Linked DNA regions of Nothobranchius furzeri. The protein of the gene in region 4 purifies or fractionates together with the protein of the main gene of each other region. This does not show direct contact. Links are inferred from orthologs where the notes say so. Each region holds a gene or a part of one and is shown on either strand. Other genes may lie near its edges. The genes, in order: pop4, pop5, rpp40 and rpp14.

Region 1 (4,237 bases), on a different chromosome or scaffold from region 4:
GTCGTTAATCAGTGTCCTTGATCATTATTATGACGGTCGTTATTCAGTGTCCTTGTTCATTATTATGACGGTCGTTATTCAGTGTCCTTGTTCATTATTAGAACGGTCGTTAATCAGCGTCCTTGTTCATTATTATGACGGTCGTTAATCATTGTCCTTGTGCATTATCATAACGGTCGTTAATCAGTGTCCTTGTTCATTATTATAATGGTCGTTAATCAGTGTCCTTGTGCATTATTATAACGGTCGTTAATCAGTGTCCTTGTTCATTATTATAACGGTCGTTAATCAGTGTTCATGCTTTAAGAAGCTGTACCACCTTAAGTCACGTAAAAACGTGACCCAACGTAATCCACGTGAAAGCCCCATCTAATGGACAACTTTTGTCTCTGTACATACCTGCAGTTATCATCCATTTATCGTTATCCAGGTGAAATCCTCAATATATCGGAGCTAGGTGCTGCAGTTGCTCTCCACTAGCTGCAAAACCTAAGGCATGACGGGAAATGCCTGGCTCTCACCTGATCTAAGATCTGATTGGTTCCCATTCTGATCCAAACATCCAGTGGTAGAACATGAAATTCTAGTTGGTCGTATGTGTTCTGTAAATCATGTTACGTTGATGATGACAACTATATAGGCCATAAAGAGAAATGTGATTTGTTTTGTTTTCTCACATTTTCCTGTAAGCACCCATCGTGATATTGATTTTAGGCCATATCGCCCAGCCCTAAATGAGATCCATTTGCTCCACTAAATCCTCCTCCAAACATATAAAACAATTGATTTATAGGTAGCATACGTTGTTTCATGCCACACACTCCTGTGATGCAATGTGGGAAACCTAAACACTGATGTCACAAAAGGTCATCTTTGTTTGACTAAAGCTGTTTTACAAGACGAACCAAGCAGGTCTGCTCAGCTTCAACAAAGATCCCACTGCAGAGACCATTTAAACTTCTGGTCCAGAACAATGTTGTGACACTTCACTAATTCACCACCCAGGAGTCTCAGCTTCATCAGGACAGATGTTAGCCCCAGCCAGGTGTGCACAGGGCCACATGCCACCATCTTACCCTGATGGCTTCAGTCCTCCACACAGGTCCAATATGTAGTGTCTCCAGAGCTGGTGCAGGGGCAGGAAGAGCTCATACCTGCAAACACACAGAACTCAGACATGGATCCCAGGGAGAGTCCTGATCAAACCCCACCCCCCACAAACCTCTGGTGTTCAGCTTTGATCTGGAAGATTTTCATCACCCTCTTTTGTCGAGCACCCAGTCCTTTGGCTTTCTTGCTCTTCCTTTTAGTTGTGTCCTTCTTAGGTCGCGTGTAGCCCAGGATCACAGCCTTGTGAGCTAGCAAGGTGTCGAGGTCCAGGCGTGCAGGTGTCTTAATGCTGTTCTTCAGGAAGGCTTCAGTGAACGCTGCTGCTTTTGAGCTGCTAGGAGGCTAAAGGGACAGAATGGTGTCATATTCCACAAAACACCACAAACCAATCAGCAGGCAGGACAATGAGACGATGGCTGTGTTCAGATTCAGGGGTTGCATGCTCATGAGGTCAGATTTTCAGACCAGTGACATCACAGCACCCGGAGGAAGATTGTCCAAATTTAAAGAATGCGATCTTGAAATCTGTTGTTCTTTTCCCTGATTTAGAGGGCGGGTAAGGTGTAGTCTCTTCAACTCCATAAATCCAGAGATGCACTGTGGGACAGGTGCTGTGAGATACTCCGTTCCCCTGAAATATTCTGTTCACCTGTGTTGTGAGAAATGTTGTTCCCCTGAAATGTGCTTTCCTGTGTTGGGAGGTCATCCTTCAGGCTCTTCACACCATTTGTGATCGACTTTTACAGGAAAATTATGTAATGTAATAATGTCATGCTTGTATTTTTTATATTTCCCCATAAAACAATAAAATGTACAGTAAAATCATTGCCGTTCCCTCTTCTCCAGCTTTTATTCATTATTGAAAGTTACGTAAAAGGATGTAATCTCACAAAGTTTAACCATCTTTTATTTGAGGTTGTCTGGTCCTCATAGCGGACATCAAGTCCTGTGAATTTGGAAACATTTGTTTTTTATTTGCCTAAGTTATTAGGGAAACATATTTTAGGGGAAACGAATTTCTCGGAACACCGGCGGTACACCTGTAAAACTGCAACAAAACAAGGAAAAACTTTAAAACATGCGTGAGCTCCACTTCTGCAGCTTCTTCTGTAGCAGTTGCTAATTGACAGGAGGACATCTGCTGAAGTAGGGGCAAGACTTTTATTTAAGGCTAGACTGTCCAAATCCACAGCTGTTAACATCCGGTCCGAGACCAATGAGGATGGGTTCTCATGAGCCTGCAACCCCTGTGTGGATTACAGATTACTGTTACCTCCACATCCAGAGCCTTCTTCAGTTCACTAGGAACCGTGGTACATAGCAGGGCTTCACCTAACACACGCACACGCACACGCACACGCACACGCACACACACACACACACACACACACACACACACACACAGGTTGTCTTTAGCCTGAAATGTCACTGGATAAGTTTGTGAGAAACCAGCTAAAGCTACTTTTTCTGTCTAGATGCAGCTTTACGTCACAAAACGAGGTCACACTCAACCAGCGGGGAACATTTCCCCATCGAACCCTTTAGACTACACTCACCGTCCATGGCTGCAGGTTTCAGGGTTAGAAGAAACTTTCCTTCTGTCTTAAAAAAAACAACCGAAAACCAGAAGCTAGCTTACAGCGCTGTTAGCCTCTCTTCTTCTCTAGAGGTGAAAGACACCAGGCGCTGCGCTGCTGACCCCTGCTGGGCCGGTTTAGTACTACAGCTTAAAGAGTAACTGAACCCCAGAATAAATTGTTGCTTCTAAACGATATAATTTATGGAACTCAAAAGCATTCAAAATTCAATAAATAAATAAATAAATAAATAAATAAATAAATAAATAAATAAATAAATAAATAAGACATTATGAAATAAATAGCTACATGAAGAAATATTAGATAATTATGTAATCTGTCAATGAAATGATGAAATAACAGGATGTTATGTAAAATCTAAGCTCAATATTATGAAATATTTTTCATTCTTCTTTTAAATGTCTTTATTAATATAAAGTTTTTAAAAAAGTCATTTCTTCATAATAATCCAAATTAATATTGAGCCATTTTTTTAATTTAATTCATTCAGTTTTTAATACATAACGCCTTTTTAGCAAAGACAGCTTTTATTTCATAATAGTGTTTTTTTTCCCCATGGCTGATTTACTTCATAATGAGACTTTACAGCAGAATGTCTCAGTCCGTCAGTCAAGCCAGTGGGTGTGACCTGCAACACCACTGGTTAATCCTTCAACATCGTTTGGTTTTCCTGGATTTCTCTATAATAGAACAAGGCTATCCCAGCATGCTTTACGTGCCGGCTGTGGACTTTCAACAGGTTTTAAACGTAAGTTTGTTTAAAAACTAGTGGTAGAAAACTAAAAAGCTTAAAGCGGTTCTTTTTATAGATATTTTTCGTTTGTATATTTGTTTTTTAAATTACATTTTAGGTAGAATTCAGCCAGAACAAGGTGGCGCCTGTGCTTGGCTTAGCCGCAGTCACCGGCCACTTTTTCAAACTTTTCTCCACTAACCTCCTCCTTTCCACCTTGCTCCTGTCTGCGATCCTCTTCAGTAGTGTCCCTGCTACCATCTCCTATGATCGCCTGATTCTTTTGTCCTTCCGTTCGTTCACGATCGCCCAAGATGCACCGAGGACGTACCTCCCTGTTTGTTTATCTGAGTGGTGCACTGGCCCGGAGCCAAACGACAATTCCAATCATGGCGTTTCCAGCGATGTTTGTCCGGTCCCGGGAAAACGTCGGAGCAAAAGAGGTAAAAGAGCAGGAATCCAGGTGAGAATAAGACTTCTCTTAAAGCGTGGTTTATCTAGTAAACATCGGCGGGATCTTCTAGCTTCTTGTCCTTTGTTTGGCGACTTGAACGCCACTTACGCATTCCCGCCAGTTTCTCCGTCCCAAGTTTTTTTAAGGTCGGTTTTTCCTCATTCCTCAGTGGTTTCTCCTCCTGTTCCCTCCATAAGTGGTTTTTATAAACACTGTGGATCTAACCCTGCTAATTTATGTCCTCTAACTCCAGCTGTTTCTGTAGTTTCTGATTCCTCCACCTCACTCAGCATGACTCTATTAAATACCCGCTCTGTTAACAGTAAGTCCTTCCTGCTCAAT
Region 2 (3,999 bases), on a different chromosome or scaffold from region 4:
GATTTCGATATTGGAAGTAATTTGAAATTGGCCCAAAAACAAGGAATCGGGTTATATCGGAATGCATCAAAAATCTCCGATATAAGCAGTCCGTTAAGGTTCACATTTTTGCAACCAATGGTTAAAAAATAATTTTCATTTTTTCTGTTATTGGCTCTTGTTCTCCAAATGAGTAATATCACTTGATCAAGCCTTCATCCATTCCACACTACAAAATATGTAAAGGTATGTATGATTTGTGCTGATATCATATCGGATAAATATCGGTATTGGATAATACTGAAGGCTGCAATATTGGTATCGTATCAGAAGTGAAAAAGTTGTATCAGGACATCCCTAGTGTAAACATTATACAATAATAATATAGTTATAGTTCAATACTGGCATTTAACTCCAGTTTTGTTTATGTTGCACTGGATTATGGTCAAATATTGAATTGATTTTAAAATTCTTATTTTTGTTTTTAAGGAACTGCATTGGGGGGGGGGGGGGGGGGCGGCTCATTTTAGTCTGAACTGTTACAGGTGTATGAACCTTCTGGCGCTCTCCGTTCCTCTACGCTACATCTGTTGGTTACTCCACCAACAAATAGAAAATGGAGTTTGGAGTTGTGGGTCTGAGACTCTGGAACACTCTGCCACTGTCGGGCACCTATGGTCAAGACATTTAAAAGTAGGCTGAAAACTGATTTTTACTCAATTGTCTGCACATTAAACCAGCCTGCTTAGCTGGTGGTAAGTTTTTATTTCTCTGTTCAGATGATTTTCAGCCTCATTGATGAAGATACATAATAAAGGGGTTAAAACACCACCAGATCAGAAAAGGACTGAAAATTATTTATCTAGGAGTGACGATCATTAGTGTCACCTAATAACAGGACAACTAAATAAATATTATTTTCATGCAGTGTTCGACCGCGGTGAAGTTAGCTTGAAGTTGGAGTGGACGTTGGATATTCAACAGACATTGGTTCCCACAGTCAGCGATAAATCTTCATGCCATGCGCTCCGCCACAGACGGCAGTTAGCCGAGTTCCGACGACTCGCCAATGGGAACGGTGGTTCGCTTGGGGACTATCAACAAACTTGTAGTCCTTTGTAAACGAGTAAAAAAAGAATCAAAAGCTTCCAGAATAATTGTCTAAATGACTCAAAATTACTTCTGAGTTGTGTTACTAAACTACAATTACAAGACACAACAGTTTTAACACAATTCACACAATCTGATCTTTTTTTATTATAATTTTTATCCAAAATAAGATATTTTTCAATAGCTCCTAGGTAAATCAGTCTGAATACCTAAAACCATTTCTCAATGGTGTTACTTAGCCAGACCAATAAGACACAGCCGTTTGTTTTCACATTTTTCAAGATGTGATCTTTTTTATTAGGACTTTTATAAAAAAAATCAGTGATTTCTTCTACTAGCTCCTAGGTTAATTGATTTTAATACTCAAAATCATTTCTCAGTGATTTTACTATGCAAGACCAATGAGACACAGCAGTTTTTAATCATATTTCACAAGATTTTATCTCTTTTATTAAGATTTTCATCACAAATACAGTGATTTATTTCAATAGCTCTTAGGTGAATTGATTTTAAACCATTCTTCAATGGTGTTGCTAAGCCAGACCAATGAGACACAGCAACTTTTAACACCTTTCAAACAATCTGATCTGTTTTATTACAATTTTTATCAAAAATTAAGTGTTTTTTTCAATAGCTCCTAGGTTAATTTGTCAAAATACCCTAAACCATTTGTCAATTATGTTACTAAGCTAGACCAATAAGACACAGCAGTTTTTAACACCTATCATACAATTTGATCATTTTAATTTGGATTTTTATAAAAAAAAAAAGGGATTTTTTTTCCCATTAAGCTCCTAGGTAAATTAGCCTAAATACCCAAAACCTTTTCTCACTGGTGTTACTAAGCTAGATCAATGAGACGCAGCAGTTTTTAATCAAATTTTGCAAGATCTGATCATTTTTATTAGGATTTTTATTAAAAACTAAAGTGATTTATTTCACTAGGATAAACATTTTAATAAAAAAAAAGATCAGATTTTGTGACATGTTATAAAAACGGTTGTGTCTTGTAAATGTAGTTTAGTAACACAACTCAGAAGTAATTTTGAGTCATTTAGGCAATTATTCTGGAAGCTTTTGATTTTTTTTTTTTTTTGTGTACTCGTTCACAAAAGACTACAATTTTGTTGATGGTCCCTAAGCGAACCACCGTTCCCATTAGCGAGTCTTTGGAACTCAGCTCACCGCCGTTTGTGGCACAGCGCACGGCTTGACCGTGGAAACCAATGTCTGTCGAATATCCAACGTCCAACATCAAGCTAACTTTACCGTGGTGCAGGTTCGGGTACTTTTTTAATGAAACATGTCTTATTTTCTATAATAGTAATATGTTCGTGGCAAACTGTTACAGATAATCAAATGTTTTAACTCATTTTTATGTGCGTGTTTTACGCTAGAAAATTGGTTTACGACAAACTACCTTGGAACCGGATGCTGCACAGAGCTGCTCCGTAGTCCCCGTGTATGCGGGCCACCGCTGCCTTCACAGCCGCTGCTACTGCTTGGTCGTTCAGCAGAAACAGGTCGTTCATGTCCGACACATTAACCTCGCACAGCAAATACCTAGCGAAAGAAAGAATATGCGCTAACTCAACGATGGCCACAGTAAGAGAATAAGTAAGAGACTCACAAAAAACACGTTTTACCTTGACTTGAGGCGCACCATTGCTGCCACTCATTCCGTCAACAAACCTCTTCTACGGATTTTTAGATCGAGCTCAATTGCGTTGGCGCCACCCAGTGGACATTAACATATTGCAAGGTGCATTCGGTTTAAACACGGGGTAGCCCGAATGAGTAGTTCGCGATTCACAATCACAGCTGTTTTTATCTTCACACTATGATGAAACCTTGACAGTTGACTCTACTTCACTAAAAAATAGGATAGCATAAAACGTGATTCAATCAGATGTATTAGCAGGCTTTAAATTTAAAATCAACACAAACTTCTTGGTTAAATTTCAAACGGAAAGCCTCGAACTTTAAACTAAGCGCACCCTTCAGTAACCATGACAACCCCAATCGTTCTCATCCAATCACAAGCTCAAGTTCCCATCTTTCATACACTTTGACGCCATCTTGAAATCTCATCCACAGTTTGTTAATTTGGTGTTCATAATAAAACCTGAAGTGTGTGTTTATTTTTACTGTTTGAAGTATGAACGGTTCTCGGAACAAACAGTCAGCGGCAGTCGGCAAAGGGCAGACGGATGCAGACAGTGGCCTAGAGACGAACCATAGGGACAAAAAGACCGGCGCAGGAATGCTGAGGAAGCTGAAGTCGAGGCGCAGTCATACAGAGAAGTGGCCTGTGGTCACGGAGGACCAGCTCCGGACTCTAGGAAGAGATATTTCCCCGGAGCATGTTCTGGGTTTGCGGGACGTCACAAAAGGTATCCTGTCTGCTGACTAAGTGTTCACCGGAGATGATAAAGCCACAGCGTTACGTGAGCTACAAACAAGCTAACTGTGGCTAAGTGAACGAAACTCAAGTATTTACAAGTCCGCTGTAAATTCATATCAAAATTTAACTAAGCTACTCTAGTTTATGCTATAAAGAAAAACAATTAATTAAGAGTTTTGAGCCCGGACAGAATTTTATTTTATACTCAACAAGCAAATAAGCTATCATGAGACTTGAATCCGTTAGTCTTTGCTTTAGAACGATTAGTAACATCTCTCTCTCTTTCTCTCTCACACACACACACACACACACACACACACACACACACACACACACACACACACACACACACACACACACACACACACACACGATGCATAATTAAATGTTTTCTAAATTTAGTCCAAAGACACCATAGTGTGTTATGACATCACATATATGGGGTAAAAAAAAATTACATGTTTTTCATTGTAAATCTTAGACGATCGAACTGCAGTAGTTTTTGA
Region 3 (4,135 bases), on a different chromosome or scaffold from region 4:
CTTGTGTGAGAGAGCTAACCTGAGCTCCTGGATCAGTCGCTGCACATCGTGTGGCAACAGCAGGCCACAGATGGACACGCTCAGAGCATGACTGAGCACGTCATTGGGCTCTGGACAGGTGAACGATGACAGGAAGCTGCTGGATGAGCTCTCACTGAAACCACAGAAGAACGACTTGTAGTCACAACACTTGGACACGTGACCCTGACTGGACCACTCACCAGCTGATGTCGGCCTCCACAGCTCCAATCCACTCCAGAAGACTGTGACAGTCACATGACCGAAAGTCGGGACAGGTCAGGTCAGTCAGGTGGCGGCAGCTGACCTCAGGTTCGTGTTTGGACCAATCATAACGAGACAGGAGTGGCTGTAGAGAGGCCCCACCCTCTGAGAGGCAGAATGGAGTACAGGTGATACAGTAAAAGAGAATCTGGTCCATAAGTCCAGTTTAGACTGCGAGACCATCTAAAGGCTCAGGAAGCCTCTGCCTGTGTTGTGGATTCATCAGCTGATTGGAGAACATTGAACCTTTACATGATATTCTGAGATGTTAAATGTGGGGTCGTCATCATCTGGAAGCCGTAATCATCACAGGTAGAACAGATAAAGGCGGAAACATCTGGATTGACAGGATGAGTCTGTCTCATTGATTAGTCTCACCTTTCAGGGTGGATTAGTGACAACAGTGACCTTTACCCCTTGTTCTAGTTTTTATGAGTTTCACCTGTAAGGAGAAGATCACATGTAACCATCCTTAACAATGGTGTGTCACCTGGATGATGGGACAGTAGGAAGTCTGTCTGCAGCTGAAGGTGTGACCGAAGACCTGTAAGGAGCCGGGTGTGGCCCCGTCCACCAGGTGCCATGCTGCTGTCCGTCAGGTCCACAGAGACCACTGCAGGAGACATCACACTCGGTTGGTTTCTGGTTCTGTTCAGGCTGAGCTCAGCAAACAGGTCAGGACTGAACAACCCGGACCTGAGTCAGGAACATCTGGACATTCTTTCCTGCAGGTTCCTTCTAGTGAGGATAAATTCACCCTAAAACTCCACCCAGTGTCCTGGCTCTGCTGCTGTTTAGTCAACTGGCTTTTTTAGGCTACCGCACGGGTCCCTTCACACCTGGTACCTGGAGACCCAACACCTATAGTCCTGGGACTTCCTTTAGAAAGCTGCTTCTGCACAAAACGGGTCAGAAAACGGTGTAAGGGACTTTCTACGCAAACCGCGCGGTTTATACAGAAACGCTTGACAGAAAATGTGGAAACTTTAAACAAACTTTGGATCTGGAGACGAAAATCGTGTCATCACAGCTGGTGATATGGTGACATGTTTGACCAGAGTGATGAAGGTCTGCAGACCTACCAGAGACCTGACCAGAGTGATGAAGGTCTGCAGACCCACCAGAGATCAAACTGATGAAGGTCTGCAGATCCACCAGAGACCAGACCAGAGTGATGAAGTTCTACAGACCCACCAGAGATCAGACTGATGAAGGTCTGCAGATCCACCAGAGACCAGACCAGAGTGATGAAGTTCTACAGACCCACCAGAGATCAGACTGATGAAGGTCTGCAGACCCACCAGAGATCAGACTGATGAAGGTCTGCAGACCCACCAGAGATCAGACTGATGAAGGTCTGCAGACCCACCAGAGACCAGACCAGAGTGACGAAGGTCTGCAGACCCACCAGAGTGATGAAGGTCTGCAGACCCACCAGAGACCAGAGTGACGAAGGTCTGCAGACCCACCAGAGACCAGACCAGAGCGATGAAGGTCTGCAGACCCACCAGAGACCAGACCAGAGTGATGAAGGTCTGCAGGATCGATCTGGACTTGGTGACCTTTAGAAAACAAAAGTAAACCTGACCAAATCTGCTGCAGGTTCTGTGGTTGAATCTGGACGGTTTCCCCTCAACCCCCAGAAGTTCGTACGAGTCTTTGTCCAGAGACAGAACCAGACGTCCTGCAGGGACCAGAGGAACCACTCAGTTTTTTTCATGTTGCACTGAAGAAGTCAAAGCTGTCGCCTGTTTTACCTTTTGGCATCAAAGCAACACAGGTATCTTCATCGATGCGAGTCCCAAAGGACAGACCATACACAACACCTGAAGAAGGTTCAGACAAGTGTGTACAGGTAAGTACTAAATAACAAGTACACACAGGTGTGTACTGATAACTAAATGGTATATACAGGTGTTGTGTTACCTTGGTTTATGGCACCCTGCAGGCCTGGGTCCAGCAGCTCGTGTACTGGTAGCTTCTTGATCAGGTAGAAACTGCTGAAGGTGTTCATCACCAAGTCCAGGTTGGAGGGGGTGACGCTACACCCAGGCAGCAGTACAGATACCTGCACAGATGAACCCAGTCAACAGAAGGTAGCACGACTTTGTGATGCTGCAGGTAGAAGCAGCAGAAACTGGACATCACCTGGACCCGTACCTGGCAGCAGGGTTCTGTTATTATTTTCACCTATCTATTCAGCAAGTACCCGGATGAGAAAAGTTTATACTTCAGTTGCCTCGTGACTCAGATGTCGGTGCAGCGATGCGCGCTCCCGCGACAGGGCATGCACGGCATGGGCAAAACACTGGCTCGTCACAGCGCGTGCACGCGCAGCTCTCACCTTGTGGTTGAAGTGCAGCTTCTCCACCTGAGGGCTGACCCGGTTCTTCTCGTCCAGGAAACTGGACCGATCACAGACCAGCAGAGTCCGAGGAGTCCGGTCCAGATCCGAACACATATTCACGGTACCCTCGTCGAGACCGGATCCAGACGAGAACCCGTTAGCATGAAACCAAACGGAACCGCGGAAGTTCTGGATGTTCTACAGGTTCTGTAGATCTGAGCAGGAGGATGTCGTGCTGTTTTCAGAGCCTCGTGGGTCCCCGTAGTCACGTGGTCTACGCCGGAAGTGAAGAAAACACGCGGTGGTGAAAGCGCGCTCCGGTCCGAACCTAGGGTAACCCGAGCAGAACTTGGTCCTGGTTTCTGTTTATTCACGTGACATCATGGTGGAGGTGGCTGCCGTACCAGGGCAGTTTGATGACGCGGAGGAGGACAACCGGTATGTTGTTATTTGTGACGTATTGGATCAGAAACGTGACCTAATGAGAACGGTCCTGCTCCGGTGTTGTACTGATGTCGGTATCCCAGGTAGAACGTGTACCCTGCGTCGGGAACGCGCGCCGTTTCTAGCTAACCACGTGTTTAACCTGCGTAAATAAAGATTAGTTTTGTTCTGTGGGTGACTACCGGAAGTGATGCATTTGTAGGAGTTCTACAGGTGAACAGCTTTGTTTTAAACACTATTGGCTCTTATTGTTTCTCGTCATCATGAAGTTCAGTCAGCTGTAGACAAAAACACCAGAGAACATCCATCTGCTGATCAGCAGCCAGGCCCAGGCTTCCCTCTCCCCAACCACCTGGGCCAGCTCCTCCGGGGGATTCCCAAGGTGTTCCCTGGCCAGCTGAGAGACATAGTCCCTCTAGCGTATCCTGGGTCTTCCATTAGGTCTCCTCCTGGTTGGTGTGCCCGGAAAACCTCACCAGGTCCAGCAGGCATCCTAACCATATGTGGAGAAGCAGAGGATCTACTTCGAGCCCCTCCACATTTCTCACCCTATCTCTAAGGAGGTGTCCAGCCACCTCACAGAGAAAATGCATTTAGTCCGCTTGTATCTGCGATCTCATTTTTTTGGTCACTGCCAAAGCCCGTGACTGTAGATGAGGGTTGGAATGTAGATAGATCAATAAATTAAGAGCTTTGCCTTCTGACTCAGCTCTGTCTTAACAATGGCAGACCAGTACAAAGCCTGCATCACCAATCCATCTATCGATCTCACGCTCCATCTTTCCTTCACTCGTGAACAAGACCCCGAGATACTTAAACTCTTCCACTTGGGGCAGGACCTCATCCCTGACCTGGACAAGGCATTCTACCCTTTTCTGACTCAGGACCATGGTTTCACCAAACTCCTTCCACTCCTTGAATAAAATACATGGATAAACAGAGCTTACTAGGACTTCCAACATTCAATTCAGTTTATTTCTATAGCGCCAAGTCACGACCAGTCGTCTCAAGGACCTTCACACAATAACCATTCCAGTACAGGTCAGGGGTCTCATCTATAAA
Region 4 (4,304 bases):
GCATGTAAACACACCATCTAGGACCAGATACATGACTGTAATGGTGAAAGGTGCTATGCTCTCTGTTGTACAGGTAGAGGAATTGCTTTGCAACGCTCCCCAGGTGATGGAGAAGTCTGAAGGGGAAACACCTCTGTCAATGCTTGAGTGCGACTCCACACTCGAGCTGACGGAAGTATAAACCAGGCTTTACCCTCGGTCACATCACACAGGTGAATTCAAATTAAAATCTAAGAAATAACTGAGCTAAAGGTTAAATCTGCTGACCTGCAGGACTCTGAAGGCACAGGCCTGGCTCTGGTAATAACCCTGCAGAGTTAGGGAGCTCCACAACTTCACCAGACCTCTGAAAGAAATATCAAAACAATCAGACCCCATCAAGTGTATTTAGTCAGACGTTTGAAGCAGCAGCATTGGGCTCACCCACTACAAACACGCAGCACAGCAGTGAGAGACCCTTCATCAAACTTCAACACATCAAAGGGCAGCGCTGCTCCCACCTGAAGCACATTGGTGTAGAAGCATTTCAGTAACTGAATGCAGCCTTTAGTCACAGCTCTGATAACAATAGATGTGTTTAGCTCACCTCTCCATGTAGATCCTTCAGACCAGTGATGATTAAACTCTTCAGTTCAACTGCATTCAGTCTGGTTTCCTGATCCTGTAAAACCCTTAAGTAGTAATGCACCAAGTCACCAACAAGATCAAAGATATGCACCAAAGACAGGAAAACTACTAAAAACCAGAGACTAACAGGCAGACTTTCATATAGCAGTAAGGCGAGCCGTTCTTCAGCACCGTTCGGTGGAACCCAGAAGATCCAATCTTCTCTCTGACTGATGTCATTCTAACAGAACCTCAGAGATCAGCTGACTGTGGACCAAAACACACAAATCTGTAATTACCTGTTATGATCAGAACAACAACAAAGTTAATGACAAATGTCCAAAGTATGAGGATTGCTGTAAAGACTCTCTGTGTTTCTCAATGTCAAGGCACCTGGCCTTGCGAGGCGATGTCTTACGAGGCCTTGCAAGCATCAGCATCAGCAATCTAGAAGCTAATGATGGATATATTAAGCAGGGGTGTCAAACATGCGGCCCGCGGGCCGGATCAGGCCCGCACACAGTTTAAATCCGGCCCGCGAGATGATTGCGTAAACCTTATTTTCAGACTTAACAATGTAAAGTCTGAAAATAAGCTTTCATTTTTCAATTAAACTACTGGTGAAAGTTAAAAGATGTCAGGTATCAGGAGTCAAAGACATGTATGACACTGATATAGCCATGTGATCTGTGAATCAGTTATTTGAATCACTGAGCTTGCCCTCTTTGGGTTTTTTGTTTTGCATTTCACATTTTCAAATACACTTCAGGTGTTTTATTATTAATGGTGATGTTGTGCTTTAACTATTTTGGATACACTGTCCTCAGGCTCCAGCTTTGTTTTATGTTGATCGTATTAAAACAAAAAAAAAAAAAAAAAAAAAACACTGGTCTGGCCCACTTGGGACTAGATTTTCCTCAATGTGGCCCCTGAGCAAAACTGAGTTTGACACCCCAGCATTAGAGCATCCTGGTGCAATAAGCTAAACTTTTATGAATGACACGATTAGTCGACTAATCGTCACTGGCAACTAGCTGACTACTAAAGTAATCGTTTGTGGCAGCCCTAATTTAGTGACGCAGAAACCCAGCAATTACTTTATATCTGTTGGCTCTAAAGCTTCTTCTTAAAGCAGAGTAAATAGGATAAACATGTGTGCCTTAACCTGGCAATTAAATATAATAAAACCTCCCTGTTTTTCACAGCTTTGTGTTGACTATTTCTATTCTAGAATAATGAATACGTATGAAAAATAGGTCTAAACCTTAATCAGCTTTGAATTTAATTTCTATTAAATAATGCACATTTAAACAGATGATATGTGTGTTCTAGTTCTAACTTGCAAACACTAACCTATGAAAGTGAAGACATAAGATAGCCTTAAGGAGGGAGATCCCGGGCCTGCTGGGCTAGTATCCAGCACGTTTTTAGATTCAACACACTTGATTCAGTGGCTGATTCACTTGCGCAGCAGCTCATCAGGCCCTGCAGAAGCCTGATAATTACCTGCTGATTGAAGTTAAAACTGAAACGTGCAGGATACCAGCCCTCCAGGCCCGACAATGAATATCCCTGGCCTATATATAGTAATATATATAACCCCAGTGTTTAAGAGCCAACAGATAAAGTCATCTAACAGTGTGTTAAATGCAACAAAATTTACACATTTGATGTTTTTCAGGTTCTTTTATAAAAGAAACAAACAGGTTTGTTGCAAAACAGGACATGATGGTTAATATAGCACGAAGTTAACAATTTCTTCACTAAACTCCTCAAAATCTGGCTGGAGAGATTGAACACCCTGCAACGAGAGAACACGGTTTATTGTTACATGAAATAGCCAATCGTATGAGAGAGAGCTCTTCCTGCCAATCAGAGGCGAGAATGACGGGACCTTCCTAGAACATCCTACTATTCCAAAGGAGTAATGCCGGACCTTTACACGCTAACGGAAGCTAATTATGTTTCATGCTGTTTAAGCTAACCCGTTTTAATCAGAAAGGACAAATCGCCTCGCTGGAAGAACTTACAGCAAATTAAAGTCAACGTTTGTTCGGAAAAAAACAGAACTAAAGCAAGTAGAATTACCTGTTAGGCCAAACACCAACAAAAACGAATTGAACTCACCCAGGATGTGAAGAGAGGGTTCATGTAAAGCGCATGCGCAGCACAACTTTTTTTTTTAAAGGTTTACAACGTGAAGTACATTATCGCCCTCTACCGATCTGGAGTGTGAACTGGCATTCCTCAAGCATAAACCAAGCTTAAAGCTTCCCTGTTTACGTCTGCGTCAATAGAACAGAACGAATGCTGTTCTTGATATCATTTCAAACATAACTTAATAAAAAACAATACTGATGTACTCAAATGAGTAAACTCACATTAGCACATCCAATCTACAAAACAATAATTAAAAAATTAAATATTAAAGAAGATAAAACAGTATAAATTAGGTATTTGTACATGATATCTAAAAAATATTTAAATCCATTTCAGTTCTTGGGCTATACAGCGATGCAGTGGTTAGCACTGTTGCCTTGCAGCAAGAAGGTCCCAGGTTCGAATTGTGCATGGAGTTTTCATGTACTCACTGTGCATTTATGGGTTCCCCGCAGGTGATCTGGCTTCCTCCCACAGTCCAAAAAGATGACTATCAGCAGAGGCGATTCTCGCATCAGAGGTTTAGGGGTGCTGAGCACCCAGAGATGTGCCCGGTCAGGCAAGATAAATTTCAACATTTTCTACATTTTAAATAAATAATTCTCACATTAAAGAAAGAAAACAAAAAGACTGTTTTCACTAATCAAATTACAGTTTGAAACATCACAATATATATGTTTAACAGATTCTGCTCACACTGTAGCAGAATTTGGTCCAGGTTTAGTGGTTCCCAGTCTTCTGTCCTTGAGCATCCCTTGGTTGTGTGTTAACCTTACAATCTCAGTACAAACATGTTGTAGAAGAAGAAGAATAGCTGATCTTTTGTACAGTGCCTTTCAAGATAAAAATCACGAGGCACTTGTATGTGCTGAATTCCCACAAATTTGGTGGGGACCCCATTGGTGGATCACGAACCACAGCTTGGGAACCACTGGTCCAGGTGTTGTAGTTTGAAAATGTGAGCAGATTAAAGATGCTCAATCAGTGGAAAAATTGGATGGAACTGCCCTTTAATAATTGGAAACCTGAAATCAAAGCCAATTTGTAGCAATGTCTGAATTTCCACAAAAGAATGAAACTAAAAGTACCAGTAAATAACTTTTAGGTCAATTTATTTTTTTTTCACATAACTTTCCACTAATATCAACATCCCATTGAAAAATAAATCCAAACTTTTTTGATAATTATTCTGTTTCTTCTTAATTAAAAAAATTAAACAAAAACAAAATGGTGGTTTTTGCAAAAATGACAACCAATCTCATACAGTAGATATTTAGGGGAGAGAAAACAAAAATCACTGACTTTGATCTCTGACAAAAGTTAGATTTAAACTTAATGTTGTGACTTATTTCTCAGATGTCTCAGAATAATTGATCAAAGCTTTAATTCAATAATTTCAACTGTTCAAAAGGGTTTGGCTATGAAAAACCACAAGCACCTTGTCTGTGTTAGAATCTTATTATTGGGCTTCTTTAGCACCAGCCTGTTAGCCTGGCAAGCCAGACTCTCTCTGTTTAATTCTGCACAGAGACTGAGTC

What was found.
Region 1: the proteins of rpp14 (region 4) and pop4 purify together in Homo sapiens (affinity purification with mass spectrometry; 3 studies listed by BioGRID and IntAct, counting the BioPlex papers as one, with this or other methods). This does not show direct contact. The link is inferred for Nothobranchius furzeri from reciprocal best matches to the Homo sapiens genes RPP14 and POP4.
Region 2: the proteins of rpp14 (region 4) and pop5 purify together in Homo sapiens (co-immunoprecipitation; 3 studies listed by BioGRID and IntAct, with this or other methods). This does not show direct contact. The link is inferred for Nothobranchius furzeri from reciprocal best matches to the Homo sapiens genes RPP14 and POP5.
Region 3: the proteins of rpp14 (region 4) and rpp40 purify together in Homo sapiens (co-immunoprecipitation; 3 studies listed by BioGRID and IntAct, with this or other methods). This does not show direct contact. The link is inferred for Nothobranchius furzeri from reciprocal best matches to the Homo sapiens genes RPP14 and RPP40.

The regions. Positions count from the first base shown.
Region 1 is NC_091749.1:7,870,552-7,874,788, forward strand, and holds the start of pop4 (ribonuclease P protein subunit p29), read right to left. Parts: upstream 2,802-4,237; 5' UTR 2,674-2,801; coding exon 2,667-2,673; intron 2,443-2,666; coding exon 2,384-2,442; intron 1,453-2,383; coding exon 1,223-1,452; intron 1,155-1,222; coding exon 1,077-1,154; intron 1-1,076. UniProt on the Homo sapiens protein: Component of ribonuclease P, a ribonucleoprotein complex that generates mature tRNA molecules by cleaving their 5'-ends.
Region 2 is NC_091757.1:33,375,391-33,379,389, forward strand, and holds the start of pop5 (ribonuclease P/MRP protein subunit POP5), read right to left. Parts: upstream 2,823-3,999; 5' UTR 2,756-2,822; coding exon 2,736-2,755; intron 2,653-2,735; coding exon 2,510-2,652; intron 1-2,509. Other genes in the region: unc119b (protein unc-119 homolog B), read left to right, coding at 3,248-3,482. UniProt on the Homo sapiens protein: Component of ribonuclease P, a protein complex that generates mature tRNA molecules by cleaving their 5'-ends. Also a component of the MRP ribonuclease complex, which cleaves pre-rRNA sequences.
Region 3 is NC_091751.1:33,814,123-33,818,257, forward strand, and holds the start of rpp40 (ribonuclease P protein subunit p40), read right to left. Parts: upstream 2,818-4,135; 5' UTR 2,744-2,817; coding exon 2,627-2,743; intron 2,581-2,626; exon of another isoform or gene 2,443-2,580; intron 2,351-2,442; coding exon 2,209-2,350; intron 2,109-2,208; coding exon 2,040-2,108; intron 1,967-2,039; coding exon 1,871-1,966; intron 896-1,870; coding exon 773-895; intron 388-772; coding exon 222-387; intron 155-221; coding exon 20-154; intron 1-19. Other genes in the region: riok1 (serine/threonine-protein kinase RIO1), read left to right, coding at 3,012-3,067. UniProt on the Homo sapiens protein: Component of ribonuclease P, a ribonucleoprotein complex that generates mature tRNA molecules by cleaving their 5'-ends. Also a component of the MRP ribonuclease complex, which cleaves pre-rRNA sequences.
Region 4 is NC_091743.1:78,988,699-78,993,002, forward strand, and holds the start of rpp14 (ribonuclease P protein subunit p14), read right to left. Parts: upstream 2,820-4,304; 5' UTR 2,734-2,819; exon of another isoform or gene 2,695-2,733; intron 874-2,694; 5' UTR 847-873; coding exon 755-846; intron 672-754; coding exon 587-671; intron 501-586; coding exon 424-500; intron 347-423; coding exon 268-346; intron 1-267. UniProt on the Homo sapiens protein: Component of ribonuclease P, a ribonucleoprotein complex that generates mature tRNA molecules by cleaving their 5'-ends.